Astyanax mexicanus: one gene and its partner. The protein of the gene in region 1 binds, or shares a complex with, the protein of each later gene. Links are inferred from orthologs where the notes say so. Each region holds a gene or a part of one and is shown in the gene's direction. Other genes may lie near its edges. The genes, in order: psme4b and psmb8a.

What was found.
Region 2: psme4b (region 1) and psmb8a share a complex: the UniProt entries of both Homo sapiens proteins name them as parts of the spermatoproteasome. The link is inferred for Astyanax mexicanus from reciprocal best matches to the Homo sapiens genes PSME4 and PSMB8.

The regions. Positions count from the first base shown.
Region 1 is NC_064422.1:31,571,709-31,579,698, reverse strand, and holds the start of psme4b (proteasome activator complex subunit 4B), read left to right. Parts: upstream 1-4,730; 5' UTR 4,731-5,059; coding exon 5,060-5,256; intron 5,257-6,890; coding exon 6,891-7,031; intron 7,032-7,129; coding exon 7,130-7,246; intron 7,247-7,642; coding exon 7,643-7,696; intron 7,697-7,990. UniProt on the Homo sapiens protein: Associated component of the proteasome that specifically recognizes acetylated histones and promotes ATP- and ubiquitin-independent degradation of core histones during spermatogenesis and DNA damage response.
Region 2 is NC_064410.1:22,167,637-22,175,450, forward strand, and holds the start of psmb8a (proteasome subunit beta type-8), read left to right. Parts: upstream 1-4,441; 5' UTR 4,442-4,536; intron 4,537-4,858; 5' UTR 4,859-4,864; coding exon 4,865-5,005; intron 5,006-6,400; coding exon 6,401-6,542; intron 6,543-6,691; coding exon 6,692-6,803; intron 6,804-7,814. Other genes in the region: psmb13a (proteasome 20S subunit beta 13a), read left to right, coding at 1,080-1,173, 1,381-1,478, 1,671-1,811, 2,219-2,334, 2,424-2,482, 2,627-2,778, 3,209-3,320. UniProt on the Homo sapiens protein: The proteasome is a multicatalytic proteinase complex which is characterized by its ability to cleave peptides with Arg, Phe, Tyr, Leu, and Glu adjacent to the leaving group at neutral or slightly basic pH.

The DNA.
Region 1 (7,990 bases):
TCTGCTTAAAGCATTATGAAGGAACAGCCATGCTGGAACCGCTCAGCCTTTCATTACTGACCAATAATAGACACAGAGGTAGAGTGCTTTCAGAAAGCTGGGGTAAAAGCTAAACATTGCGGTCCCATATTCAATCAGTCAATCAGTCACAGAACATTTACTTCCGGAAGAAGCTTGCAAGAAAATGTATTGCTAACAGAACACTGTTACTGAAAAAAAAATATTGTGCACTATATTGTTTTTTATTAATATATTTTATTTCCAGACCTTACTAATGTCCCTGTAGCCTGTCATTCTTCCCAGCTCTGTTTAATCCATTTTATCAAAACTCTAGGGGCAAAATGTTACAACAAATTACAAATCAGAGCTGACAGTTAATGTTCTCCTCCAAGTGTGTTGACCAGTCCAGTGATGATCTTTTACTTCTGCCTTTGGCATCTTTAAAAAGTGGTGTATTAGGATTTTCAGATATTTTAGAATGTGACTTATTTTATTTTGTTAAAATAAAATATAAATTATTAATTAAGTACATAGAAAAATGTTGATATACTGTCTATGTATGTACACACACATATATATATATATATATATATATATATATATATATATATATATATATATATTATGTTTATTAAGTTTGGTTATATGTAAGTTTGGTATCTATTTACCATAGTAAGGCAGCTTTGCTAAACAGGGCCTAACTACATTTTAGGTAAGTATGTGTTTCAGAATTAGATATCCTGTTTGTTGGTTAGTCACATTTAAAATATAGGCAGACTGCGGGACTGGGATTTTAAGATAAAATACAGCAAGACTACAGGACTGGATTTCAAGAGAGAAAAAAAGCTAAATTACTGGTCTCTAAATAGTGACAGCAGAATATACGTGAATAAGCATAAGCACATATATGTTAAGTCAATTCCCAAATAAGTGGAATCAGAGAATCAACTTTTGGAATTAAAGACCAGCTTAAACAGAATTTACGCATTATATGTTGCACGCATTAAAAGCATGAGTCTGAACAACAACTGCACACTAATATACTTACGGAAAAACACTGTTGGATTTAGTAAGATTATGCTTTTTACATTTTCATTATTATGTAATATACTAAATCACTTATGTATACGGAAATGGATGCTGTTTTTAATGGATATTGTTTTTGTGTCAAATCATGACTACAATAATCTGTTGCATCTTATCACATACTTTTATATTTATAGTTTTTTAGACACATTGTGTTTTTATTTAAATATTTCCTGATGTGGGGTTGTATATTTGTTTTGTTATCTGTGGCATAAAATTGATGTTCAAATAATGTGTTTCCCTCTCCTATGTATATGAATAGTGTATGTCAAAATAAAATATGAGTAGTTATTGTCAAAACCATAAGGGTAAATCTACTTTATGGCCATCTTTTAGATGAGTTGCATAATTTTCTAATCAAACAGCAATGTTTTATTTATCTACTTTCTGCTGCTAGTGTAAGCAGTGATGTAAGGGTAAATACACACTGTGGAAAGATTAGTATCTGTATACTGAATTTCCACATTTCCCAGTAACTTTCCCAGTACTGCTTACAGTATTTTATCTCTGTTCCAGGTGAACACTTTTCCAGGAGTTTTCTGATTTGTCCTGAAGAGGGCAATCATGTCTCAGTTGTTAGTAGAAGCTGAAGGAGAAGGAGAACGTGGCCTCATCCTGCTGGGTCAGTGGGGATTTACTAAAAATGTCCTCTAATGTGATTTATGGTGACAGTGTGTGTCTCCTGGTCAAGGAGCTGTTTCCTGCCTATCTGCACAGATTGAGGGCACACTTTATAAATTGGCACAAATATAACAGCTGATAAGATATAGAAATAATGAATTATACTGAGCTTGCAGAATTGCATTATTAGACAAACGGCAGGAATAGTTAGTAAATCTATATCTGGTAGTTGAAAAGCATTGTTTCATGAACTTCATTTGGGATTTAAAAATATATAAATGATTTGAGCTATAGGGCCACCTGCATATCCTGTGGTACAACTGCTGCAACTGAAGTGGCCTGTCTTTGAGAAGCTAGCGAGAGGCTGGTTAATCCAGGATCTCATTAAAAATACCTATGATCTAAGAGGATAAATCTGCTTTCCTAGAACTAATTGACCCTCCGGGCAAAGAGGTTGGTTTGGTTGGCTAAGAACAGGTCAGCGCATGCAATTGGCCGGCCAGGACAATGTGACATTTTCTGATTGGCTGTAAGGGATGCAGGATGTGAGCTTGATGAGATTAGACTAGATATCTGGCCTAGCTCCAGGTAAAAGGTGTGTGTCTGTGTGTTTGTTTATGTGGTTCCCAGCAGAAACTTGTGTTTGGAGTTTGATTAGTCTGAGGTGATTTGGCCTGGCACAGAAAAAGTGGGTTTTGGTGTCACCCACTGATACTGAACCACTGAGGATGCCATGCTGCTTGCTGTTTTGTGGTAGACCAGTCTGATTTGATGCAAACATTAGGTTTTCATTCAGGATCTGGCTTCATATAACTTATCAAATGTTTATAGACTGAGACCTTTCAACAGGTGTCTGGTGTGTTTCTGGAATTAAATACTGCATTCACACTGGCCCTTTTTGGTTCACGAGATTTGTGAACTCTATATTAGACCTTCACTACTTTAACTAAGGAAGCTAAGAATGTTCTTAACTCCACAAGTTAAGAACGTAACCTCAACCAGGCAACTAACTATGCAGTGACTTAGCTACACATCCTGACTACATTAGTGTTGGAACAATATCACTGCACTGGGTCACTGAATAAAGAAAGAGCAAAGAGGATTGAAGTGATCTCATTATGCCATCGGCACTGATAAACCATTTAAACTGTGTGAATACTAGGGGTGTCACGATCTCGATATTTTATCGAAATCGAATCGAAATGAGGTCACGATCTCGAGTATCGAAGTCAAAAAGAGGATCGACGATCCCTCCCGCGCGCGCTACGCAAATAGCGCAGCGCGCTACGCAAATGGCGCGGCACCAACACAGCGCATCCTATTCATTTAAATAGAGATAGCCACTGCATGAGCGCAGTCGGCGGGAGTGTGATCACTGTTTTTATCTGTCCAACGGGGGAGGGGGGGGCGGGGGTTGGGCGCGCAGGTTTTGTATCTGTATCTAACGGAGGGGTGGGTGCGCGCAGGTGAGAGCGTGTGAACTCGCTGAAATGCGTGTGTCAGTGTGACTTGAGAACACTGACTATAGATCACAGTGAGGTGGATTAAAAATCTTAAACTTATAATTGACTACACCTGTTGCTTTCCATTGAATTAAAAAAACATCTTTCTCTCAGATAAAGTAAACACAAGCGTGTTTCTGACTAAAATAAAAGCTTTTCAGGAGAGATATAAGTTATGTGTAAATATTTATAAGACAATACCCACATCACTTATCTAACCAGCCTGTACTGATTTCTGCCCCCCAATAATGCTTTCAATAACCTCTTGTAACCCCTGGGAGCCAGGGGTTACACTCTAATAGCCTTTAATAGTCTTCAGTAGCCTTTAAAAGACTTACCTGGCGGCTGTGGTGTGTCCACTAAACTCCGTAGTTATAAACATCCTGAGGTTAGCAGCGCGCTAACTGACCTGTTTATAATGTATTCCGAGCAGTGCCTCCGTGTCGGCTGTTCTAACCTGCTGCTGTTAGCTGCTTGGGCTGAAAGATGAACTGTAGTGAGCTGTATTATCCGGTTAGTGGGGTTAAAACCTTTATTTGTTTACAGAAACAGTAAAAACGGACTGGCTGAGCTCTGTAGCCCGTGGCTGGGCTGTACTGAAGTAGTGACTGAGTGAAAAGAGCGGGGCTTGTGCTGCTGCTGCTAGTGGTTGGATGAAGAACTGCAGCTTCATGTAATGAGCAGTTTCACCAGCCATCCACACACAGCTCTGATAAACTGCTTATTTTAATAGTGCACACTGTTGCTACCAAAAAAAGTCACTAGATGGCATTACCATATATATCTTAATAAATAATAATAATAATATTTATAATATTTATAATAATAATAATAATAATAATAAATATATTATTTAAATTTTATGAGGCATAAAATAATAACAAGAAAAAAAAACAAGAAAATCGAGAATCGAATCGAATCGTGACCCTCAAATCGAAAATGAAATCGAATCGAGGATTTAGAGAATCGTGACACCCCTAGTGAATACGCTGTATAGGAAAAGGGAAAAATTATCAGTTTGTCAATTATTGTAGTTGATTTTGATTATTTATTTTGACTTCACATTTTCCATCACATGATCTACAGGCTCATAGGAAATGGTTCTAAGATGTTTTCATTTAATAGCTAAAAGTATTATAGTATAAATATATAGTCATAGTCACATGTTTATGTGGATTGCACACCCTTTAATGTTTTAATGTTAAATAACTACAAAAAAACAGCTTTGCAGATTTATCAGATCCAGGCAGGTATGATCCCTATGTGATTGTGATTGTGTGATTGTTGGAGGATTAGCAACAATTTTGTTGATTAAAGTGAAAGGAGAGAAAAAAAAACACACTGCTTCATATATAATCATTTCTTGTTTCTATTTTGTCTCTATTGTCAGTCACTACTGATGCTAATGTAATGACTGCCTGCACTGATCCATGCCCACATTTCATCCACGTTTAATAACTAGATGAAGTGGCGGAAAGGCACCGAGAGGGGCGCCCTCTGTGTATGTGCAGCATATGTGCAGGGAGGGAGGCTCTGCTATGCTACCCACCGCCAGTTGTGTGTCCAGTTCGTTAGCTATGTGTGTGTCCAGGAAAGTGAAGGGAGACTCCTAGCTATATGTGGGTGACCCAGGCTAATGTTACGCGTGTCAGAAGGAGCGAATGAGCAACTTTCGTCCACGTGCTTGAGAGATCGTGTCGACAATAAACGAGTCGAGTTCTCGGGACGACAGACGGGGAGTCTCGGATGTGTCAATAAAAGATTTGTCAGGGGAACTTGTCAAGGACTAAGAGGATAGATACTACAGCAAACAAGTCCAGGAGAGGATCCAGCTATTGGGGGAGTGTAATATGAAAAAGGACCAGGAGGACACCTTAGGTTTTGTCCCTCAGAAAGACATTGTCTACAACAAACTCCTTCCTTATGCAGACAAACTAGACAATGAGTCTAATATCATTTTGGCCAGCATCAAGGGGAACTTGGCTCGGGCTGTCCATCTCAGGGAGCTGTGGCCCGGAGTTCTCTTCTGGACGAGAAAACTCTCGACGTGAGTATAGCTGCTTTTAGACGTCGAAATAAAAATGTTAAGTTAGTAGTTAGTGTTATTTAGCTATGTTCCCTTCAGCAAATACACCACACACACTTCAGGGTTTAACCGGCAATAAGCTGAACTTAGCCTAGCTAGCTAATGCTATATAGCTAACCCAAATAAGCTGAATGGCTGGGCCTGCTAGGTTATAGCTATCTAAGCTAGCTAGCTAGCTAACGCTACGGCTGTGTTATACTAAGGAAGCTAGATGAGTTAGCAAGTTCTAAGTCACTCATTTGCTTAGATGGCTAGGGCTAGCTAACGCTAGTTAGCTTAGCGTATCTATGTGTAGCTACGTTAGCTAAGTTATTAATTTTATCGGTTTGTTTGTGTGTAAATGAACCGACAGTGCATATAGTTAGGTTTTCTGTTTCTAAATAGTTAGTTAGCAAGCTTTAGCTATGTTAGTAATTTTATTCGAGTTTTTTATGTTAGTTAGGTAATTAACTAGATAAACCTACAGTGCAGATAGCTTGTTAGCTTAGCTAAATATGGCCCTAAAAGTAACGTTAGCGAACCAGTTCTTATCTAGTTAATATTATCTGTTAGATGTGTGTTTCGCTTTAGCGTTTAGCTTGTAACTTACCCTAGCTTGTTGACTTGCAACCGGTGGTTCGCTAGCCAGATGAGTTAGCAAGTTCTGAGTCACTCATTTGCTTAGTTAGCTTAGCGCTAGTTAAGCTAGCTAACGATAAGTAAGCGGTGTATAGCCAGGTTAGCTAAGTTAAACTAACATTATAGGATAGCTGTGCGTCGCTTTAGCATTAAAGCTAGCTTATCTTGTTGACTTGCAACCGGTGGCAAGCTAGCTAACGATAACTCAGCAAGTTGTGGCTAATTCCAGAAGCTGCTCACTGACCGTCTTTGTTAAAGACCAGCTAACAGTAGTATGGGCTAATAATATAGCTAGAAAAGTGGGGAAACAGGGAAGCATAAACTATATTTTACCCTACCTAGCAGTTATATGGTCAAAAGCTTTTGTTTAAGCTTGTCATTAAGGAATTTGTGTGATTTAGCTTGTGGTTAGCTAACTATAGCTAGCTGATAGTTTTCAGCTCCCACTTCATGACCTGACATATCATGACACTGCAAAACAACAATACTCTTAGATAACCTAGTGTGAGCTAGCTCTCTGTCTGGCCTCTAACAATCTGCAGTTTGTGTTGAAAACGTGTTTATTTTGTGTTTTTACAATTTACTGTACGTTCGGTCATTTACAGAACACTGCTACACACATTTCTACTCAAAACAATATAGGTTAGGTTAGCTATATTGTCATGTTTTGACTCTAGATGCTGTCAGTTGTTTTGACAGACAAAAGACAGCTGTGTGTCCTACGTTTTTCAGTGGAAAACAACTGTACTTGTTGTGTTTTACTATATTTTTTTTAGACATTGCTACACTCTTTTCCTGATACAACATAACATTACCCCACTGCATTTTTTTCTTTTTTTGTGCATCACATGACCACTGTAGCTACATAACATCTGTCCATTCACAAGTTTAGAGTCACCTATATTTGTGCTGGTTACTGATGTGTTTATGAACTCTGCTTTCTCTCTTTGATAATTTTTTCTGTATATCACTGGCAGGTATCTTCGTCTCTATGGCAGAAAGTTCAGTAAGGAAGACCATGTGCTCTTCATTAAGCTCTTGTACGAGCTGGTCACCATCCCTAAGCTGGAAATCAGCATGATGCAGAGCTTTGCTCGACTCCTCATCAATTTACTCAAGTACGCAGCTTTAAACTAGTTTTACAATACTGAGAAGAAAATGTAATTTTGAAATAAAGGCCCACGTTATTGAACATGCTTTCTTATGCCATTTCTAGGAAAAAAGAGTTGCTGTCACAGGATGACTTGGAGTTGCCTTGGAGACCCTTGTACGAGCTCTATGAGAAGATCCTTTACTCAAAAACCGAACATCTTGGTCTCAACTGGTTTCCAAAGTAGGTTTCTTACTTAAGGTCTTCACAAATGCCAATGGAACTTTGTCTTTTTTTAAATATTAACATTGCACCTTGTGCCAGATGTTTATGTTTGGGATGCACACACACTGGTAGTAGGCAGTCCTAGTCTTAAGACTGTGTTTATGGAAAAGGAAGAGCTTCTGAATTCTCTGTTTACGTCTTTAAAGTTCAGTTTGTGGATGTTTAAGTATGCTGAATTTCAGTCTTGGCCATTCTAAGAAATTATAATTCTTCTTAGTACCACCTTATTAAATTAGCCTCACATAAAATACAGCAGCTATTTTTAGAAGAACCCATTAAATTGTAATTACTGTGTAAGATCTCAGTTGATGTGTTTAGTGTTGGCTTATGCGTCTTTCCTTTTCTCACATTTAGTTGTCGAGCAGAAGCCTCCCCTAAACAAAAAATGCTTAATTATGTTCGCAAGCGGTAAGCATAGCCAGTGTTTTTTACATGTATTGTACTCTACTTACTTGTATTGTACTCTTTATAGGGCAGCTTCTGGTATTAATTGCATGCATCTGAAATTAAACCGAATTCAAAATCCACTGCTGGTCCGCAACACAGCTTTGCCAGCCATTGTATTTGAAACATACACTTATACTTGCACTCACTGGCTTTATATTTGCCTATTTACAAAACTGCGCCCCATAGGTTTTCATCCACAACTTCAGGCACCCTCTTTATCATTGGTTAATTTTTGACCACAGGACTGCTGCTGAC
Region 2 (7,814 bases), on another chromosome or scaffold:
GATACGCCGTGACCTGCCGTGACACGATCTGCAGCCGCGCTCATATAGCAAGCAGTTTTAGCCTTAAACTCAAACTACTGAGTCCTAATTCATCGCCAGATTACAGATGTCTGTGTATTAAACTCCCTGCTGTCGGAAAATTCTAGCAGGGACTAAAATTGAACACATACAGCCCTAAATAAGAGACCTCTTAAAAATTAGGAGTTTCTTTGATTTTACCAAATTGAAACCCTCTGGAAAACAATCAGGAGGAAGATGGATGATCACAGCCGTCAAACCAAGCTGAACTGCTTGATTTTTTTTGTACCAGGAGTGGCACAAAGTTATCCAAAAGCAGTGTGAAAGTGTGAAACTGCATTTAAAAAACAGTGTTATTTCACCAAATATTGATTTCTGAACTCTTAAAACTTTATGAATATGAACTTGTGTTCTTTGCATTATTTGAGGTCTGAAAGCTCTGTATCCTCTTTATTTTAGCCATTTATCATGTTCTGCAAATACATGCTCTAAATGACAATATTTTATTTGGAATTTGGGAGAAATGTTGTCCATAGTTTTTACCTATAAATAGCAAACTCAGAGAAAACTGATTCAGAAACTAAAGTGCCCCATTTAATTCTGAGCACTTCTTCATTAGAGGAGCACCTGACAGGGGACCTGTTCATGTTTACTCACCTTAACACCATACACCTATACATCCCATTTTTGTCCTAAATGATAGTAAATGGTTCTTTATCCTACAACAGCTTGCTATACATTATCCCTCTATAGCTTGATTTTCATATTTGTTTAGAAAAAAAACTACATTTTGACAGTGGTGATCTAACCATCAAAAAATTAGGAACCACTGTTTCAACATGATTGCCTCGTTATGTATCTGTATAATGTTGCCCAGAAGCAATAAATCAAAGAAAGCTCTTTTAGTAAGAAGATAAAGAAAACATAGCCACAACAATAAAAAAAAACATTAAAAGCACAATTCAATAATCAAAAGTGTGTTTTTTCGTAGCCTGTAAGCAACACCATGACATAATGTCTTAGGATTGTCAGCTACCTTATCATTTGCCTTTGTCTTTCAGAAATGTTTTATTGAACAATGTGCTTGGAGAACAGAAGACAAAGACACCTAAACCCATGAAGACTGGAACCACAATTGCAGGAGTGGTGTATAAGGTATGAAACATCAGAAGAGAGTTCAAAATGTAGGATTATTCAAATCATATTCTTTATATGTGATGTTTAATATTGGTTTCTATCTATCTATCTATCTATCTATCTATCTATCTATCTATCTATCTATCTATCTATCTATCTATCTATCTATCTATCTATCTATCTATCTATCTATCTATCTATCTATCTATCTATCTATGTATGTAGGATGGTGTGGTACTGGGAGCAGACACAAGGGCCACTTCCAGTGAAGTAGTCGCTGACAAAATGTGTGCCAAAATTCACTACATTGCTCCAAACATATAGTAAGTGGCACCTCCACTTGTAAAAAACATAACATTTTTCCTCAATATTACTCATAATTTAATGTTAGAAAGAGTGGTGTATCATAAAATTATCTAATTGTTTTTAAACCTTCTGACTGATTGTGTACACTACTCAGATTTCATACAGAAAAATATAAGAGGTTGCAACTGTCTGTTTTTTTATGTGTTTAGCTGCTGTGGAGCAGGGACTGCTGCAGACACAGAAAAAACTACAGACATGCTGTCATCCAACCTCACCATTTTCTCCTTGAACAGTGGCAGAAATCCTAGAGTGGTCATGGCAGCTAACATCATACAGGATATGCTCTTCAGGTTGACAAGCACATTCCATTTTCACTTTTTGAGATCTGATTTTACTTTCAGTGCCCTTTTACAAAGGGGGATTCTCTAGTCATGAAATTATTTGGTGGATGAGAATGTAATGTCTTGCATCTGCTGTAGTTTCTAAAAAAATATGAGATGCAGCAAACAATCTTTATAAATTTGTTTGTGGAACACATTCCATTTACACCTGTTTTTAATGTGGTTAAGATCCCTCTCTCCAAATGTGACTTGGTCATTCGTTCATATCACATTCTGGCTGTGGCTTCTCTTGCGATCAATTAAAATCTGCATGTGGTCCAACCAATAAAATGTATGTTAATGCAAGTGATAAAGTGATAAAAACTGACATTTATTGTTGCTTTTTTGTTTACTTTAATGTTGATGTCATATATCAGGTATCGAGGTGGGATTGGAGCGAATCTCATTTTGGGAGGGGTCGACTGCACTGGGAGTCACATCTACAATGTGGGGCCTTTTGGAAGCATGACCAAGGTTCCATTTATTGCAATGGGTAAGTTTATGACATCCAGAAGTCACATTCAAACATGTAATTTAATGATACTGCAGTTATTTGCTAATTCAATCAATGGTTGTGTTTAGGATCTGGAGATTTAGCTGCTATGGGTGTTCTGGAAGACAGGTTCAAACCCAGTCTGGAGGTACTTGGCTGTTTTAAAATAATCTGATTCTTCCTTATGTTCAATTTACTTCAGTCACAGACAACCTTAGTAATAAAAGGTATTTATAACACTGTACTGGCTTAAAATGAACCAACTCTCACATTGTTTCATCCTGTTTTCTAGCTTGAGGAGGCCAAGTTTTTAGTGCGCGATGCCATCCATGCAGGCATCATGAGTGACCTGGGTTCAGGAAACAACATTGACATCTGTGTCATCACCAGGGAAGGGGTGGACTACATAAGACCCTATAAGGAATCTGAATACACGAACAAGAGGTAAAAAAGGACATTTCAGTCAGGTTATGATCACATTATTACGCTGAAGTGACCTTTTTTTGCCTTATTGTGACACGTATAAGATTTTTTTAAGTTTTGTGGACATGTCAAATCTGACCTTTCAAAGATTTTAGTCAATTTTATAGGTATATTAGTTAATATGCTAGCAGTACCTTATTGGACTATTCAGTATTACTGTATTATGCACAGGCAAACAGCTGTACAAAGTGTAATCACCCTGCACTTTAGCAGTTTGTTGACAATAATTCTCTTTTTTTATTGTGTTATGTGATCGTCTGAAGGCTTAATATGGACTACACTGAATAAGGGTCTTAAAAAAGTCCTGCCTAGAGCTAATCAATTATTAGAAAAAATCTGAGTACTTGAGTGGGTAATATTTCCTTTTTGTTTGTTCCTCTCTCTCTCCCAGACAGGAAAAATATAAGTATAAACCAGGTACAACTCCTGTTTTGACAGAGAAGGTGGTTCGCTTGGAGCTGGAGCTTGTGCATGAGAATGTTCAAACAATGGAAACATCCTGAGCCAAACTCCTGTGCCCTCTGTTTTTGAAAATAAACTGGTGTCAGAAAGCACAAAAATCACATTTTCAGTTAGTTGTGAATATGATAATAAATAAATGACCAAATTAGACTTGTGTATGTTCTGTTTTGTTTTCATGGTTAAAGGAAAAATACAACCATGTTTGTGTTTATTGCAAGCTGACATTATGAGTGGTGTACAATACCAAAGTAAATGTAATCAGTTACTGTTTAAAAAAATATGTGTGAATTTACTGAAACATCTCTACCTTGGGTAACTTTTTACTTTACCTCTACTTCATTTTAAACCCAGATATTTTACTTTTTACTCCATTATGTAAAGTCTGTCATTACACTACAGGCTTATGTGTGCATAAAAACATTAGATTTTAAAACAAACTTAAAGGAAGCACACCAATCAGAGTACACTGTATGTTTTGCACTTGTTTTAACCTGTTGGACACCTAGCTATCCATCACACGCATACCGGGGAGCGCAACATCTGTGAAAAATGGTAAAAAGGTAAAAAGTGGGGGGTATGAATTGAGGACTTTTGCTTTTACTGAAATAACATTTTACCCTTGAGTATTACCACTTTAATTCAAGTACACGGTTTATGTGTTGTCAATATAAATTTTGTAATAAATCATTACTATATTTCAGAGGTTTTAAATTGGGCATATAGGGATTAGCTATCGTTTTAGCATCACATATTAATTTACACTTCCTTTGTTTTAATAAATAACCTAAGATTATTTATAAGATTATTACAGAAGAATGGAAAACTTTTCAAAAAGTTCTGAAAAACACTCAAAAACCCAATAAACATAAAAATTCTACACTTTATTCATATACTATTTTACTAATTGTTTAAATATAAGTCAATTTAATTTACCTGCATATTTTCACTGAATCGTTTAAAATCACACCACAGTTTCAGTATAGTATAAACTAGTTTTACTTGCATTGTATCATTTGTGTCACATGAGTGTTTCATAAAATAATTGCTAGTGTATAACTGAATAAGAATAGATTAAAAGATAAGAAAGGTATACAATTTGAGCAGGCAGGCTAGCAGGCTACATGAGCTGACACTTTAATAAACTACAGTTAATCTGCTGCAGCGCAACCTGTAGACGAGCTTTCTCCCTGTGAACTGATGACGCGCACAGACGAGCGCTCCTATTGGTCAGCCGGCTGTGGGGAACTCGTCAGGTAGGTGCGTGTCTTTTCTTTTCCGTATAAAAATTATTTTTTTTAACGTTAAAGTGAAAAACGTATAAAGCGAGTAAACATGAGAGTGTGTAAAATTATATAATTTTCAGAAAACCTTTAAAAATGTTTGTTAAAGCAGGAAAAATCGGCTAAAATCGAAACTAAAAAAACAGCATCCCTGAAACTTTCGGTTTCAGCTACAGATACGTTGTCTTCCTGTGATTGCTCACATTTCACCCGGTGAAAATCTGCTTTTCTCTTTTCGGGGCTAAAGCTTGTTTCAGGAAACACTAATAACTAATAATACCGTCTGCTGTTTTAAACAGAACAGCATGGCTCTAGCAGAAGTTAGTGGATATTCGTCCGTATCCGGATTTGGACTGTTTTCGAGGCAAGCTCACTTCGTGGACGGACCGAATCATTACTCTTTCGGGGTGAAATCACAAGAATTTGCCGTTCCTGTTGGAGTTGACGTAAGTAATGTGTAATAAATAACTGATGGATGATCGGCCAGTGGCCTGATTAATTCACCCTCAACTGCGTATCTACATGCATCCCTGTACAAGTACAAGTACGATTAAACTATAGCTTACTTAGAATACGTTACAGTTGAAGTGCTCATGTGGGACTAGTCACATGGATGGAGTGTGGTCTAGGTGGGATTCAGGTGGGCATGGGCTCTGATTGAATTTGTAGTCTACACATGTTGTTACTGTCTGGGACCCAGTTTGGCTTCCAAAATGTGCCTCATCATTACAGCCCACCTTAATCCCACAAGGCTCTGATCTAGGCCCCATGTGCAGTGCACAACTCAGATGGAGCCTATAATTTACCCTGTTAAAAATCCAGCTCAAGACCAGCTGGTCATCCAGTATAAAAACTCTATGCTAGTCAAGAGATAGGGTAAGTGTAATGATATCAGTGTAATGTTTATTCATTTATTTTTCAGACTGTAAAGGCTAAATGCAAAACATAGAAAATTGTACGTAAAACTTGTTTTTTATGTAGTGCAGTGTACAAGAAATAAGTTTTCATCCATTGTTCCCAATTTTAGGTTTTTCATTTCTGCACCTCACAATTGGATTTTCAGGAAAAATAAAAAAGGATCTTTTATTTATTTTCTGATTGTTCCATTTTTGTATTTTGCAAGAATACCCCCAAATTTGTGTTACAAGATACAAAAATGGACAAATCTGAAAATCAAGAGAAGATTCACTTTTTAATGTCTCTTGAAATTATTTTGCCAAAGGCTGAAATAAAAAACAATATGATAAAAAAATTGAATGAAAATCCATTTCTTCTTCACTCTGAATGGATAAAATAAAGATTACGTTTTTTTTACACAATTTTCTGTTTTTGAATTTAGCTTGATACAGTCAGAAAATTAAACTAAGTTTAACTCAGTGTGCTAAACAGTACACTGACCAGATGGCAAGCTGGTCTTGAGCTGGATCTTTTTAACACGTAACCCCTCCTGGTCCCATTACTGACCCTAATTGGGTTCCCATAGATGGAATGTGGTCTAGATAATTTTGGGGTGGGCATGGGCTCCGAGTGGGTTTGTAGCCTACATGTGTTGTTACTGGCACCCGGTTGGTCTTCCCAAAAGGAACCTGTTATCATGGTCCTATCACTAACTCTTGTTGGGGCCGTGCCACACGATTGACATTCATATGCGGTGCCAACATGGAAGCCGTAGACAAAACCTTTGTTGGTTCCCAGTTGGGGTACCCATACAGACCCAACATGGATATTTTAAGCTGCTCACTGACTTTAAAGTACACAGTGTTACTATAATAATAATAATTGTAAGTGGTATAAATCAAAAATGTTTGAACAGGCTCTAAAATCATCTTGTGTTTTTTCAGCCATCAACCTTTCTACAGTCATGCAGCTGTGAGGATGGCATATCAATTGACATGAACCATGGCACCACCACACTGGCTTTCAAGTTTCGCCATGGCGTCATCGTGGCAGTTGACTCTAGGGCTTCAGCTGGTAACTACATAGGTAAGTATACTCACATCACTTTACTTCACAAGTTACACAAAGTAAATCACATATTCACAGAATTAAAAAGTTATAGCATAATTGTAAATTACAATACCACACCCAGTCGTGTAATTTTTATACCATCCTATATGTTTTGTTTCTAATAGACACAAAGGAAGCAAATAAGGTGATTGAGATCAACCCTTACCTGCTGGGTACCATGTCCGGCAGTGCAGCAGACTGTCAGTACTGGGAAAGACTCCTGGCTAAAGAGTGCAGGTTTGTTCGAACTTGAATCGTTTGAGGATGGAGGGAGTGCACATATAAAGTTACCATCAACTGTGTGTGTGTATGTGTGCGCATGTGTGTGCATTTGTTGCCATGTCAGGAAATTTTGCCAGTCATCTCAACTCAGCAGATGCATCTATGCACCCAAAAGGAAAATCTTTTTCTTTACATAAGATAAAGTGCATTAAACATGCTATGGTGCTAATTTTCATGCAAAAAAAGTTATTCCTTATATCAACTAAATCATTCAATTAACCACATTCAGTTGATAGTTGGGTTCAATTTCCCTAACCACACCCAGGTACAATTTAATGACAGTGTTCGAATGCAAATACAGATGTAAACATTCCCAGAATGTATACAGTCTGCCAGTCGGGGAAGTGTTACAAAGCTAAGTCTTAAACTAGGTCTTTGGGAGTCATTATCCATGAATGGAGAAAATTCTGAACAGTGGTGAAACTTTTAATTTAGTGGGCAGCCTGTTAAACAAATTCAGCATGTGTGCATTGCCTACAAAAACATCTTAAGGATCTGCAGTCATTTTGTGCCTCAGTTACTATCAACGTACACAATTTTAGGATCTGTGGGATAATATTCTGTGGTGGTAGAATGTTTTGTAAGACATGGATCTTGATAAATCTGGTGGAAAGCTAACTCTGCATAAGAACATAATACCAATAGTCAGATTGTGATTTGCTTAAGCAAAGATGGGTTATGCAAAAGGACAATGATTCAAAGCATACAAGCAAGTCTATGGCCCAAAAAAAGAATTACGGTGTAGGAATGGCCAAGTCTTAAATGGACACATCGTGCCTGAAAACTCACCAGTGTAGTTGAATAAAAACAATATTGCAAAGACAAGCAAACTGAAATTCCTCAACATAAGTGATTGCAAACATTTGATTGCAGTTATTACTGCCAAGAGTGTCACAACCAGATGTTAGATGTATTTTTATGGGGACGATTTATTTTAAATATGGGTGATATGATTTAAAACCCTTA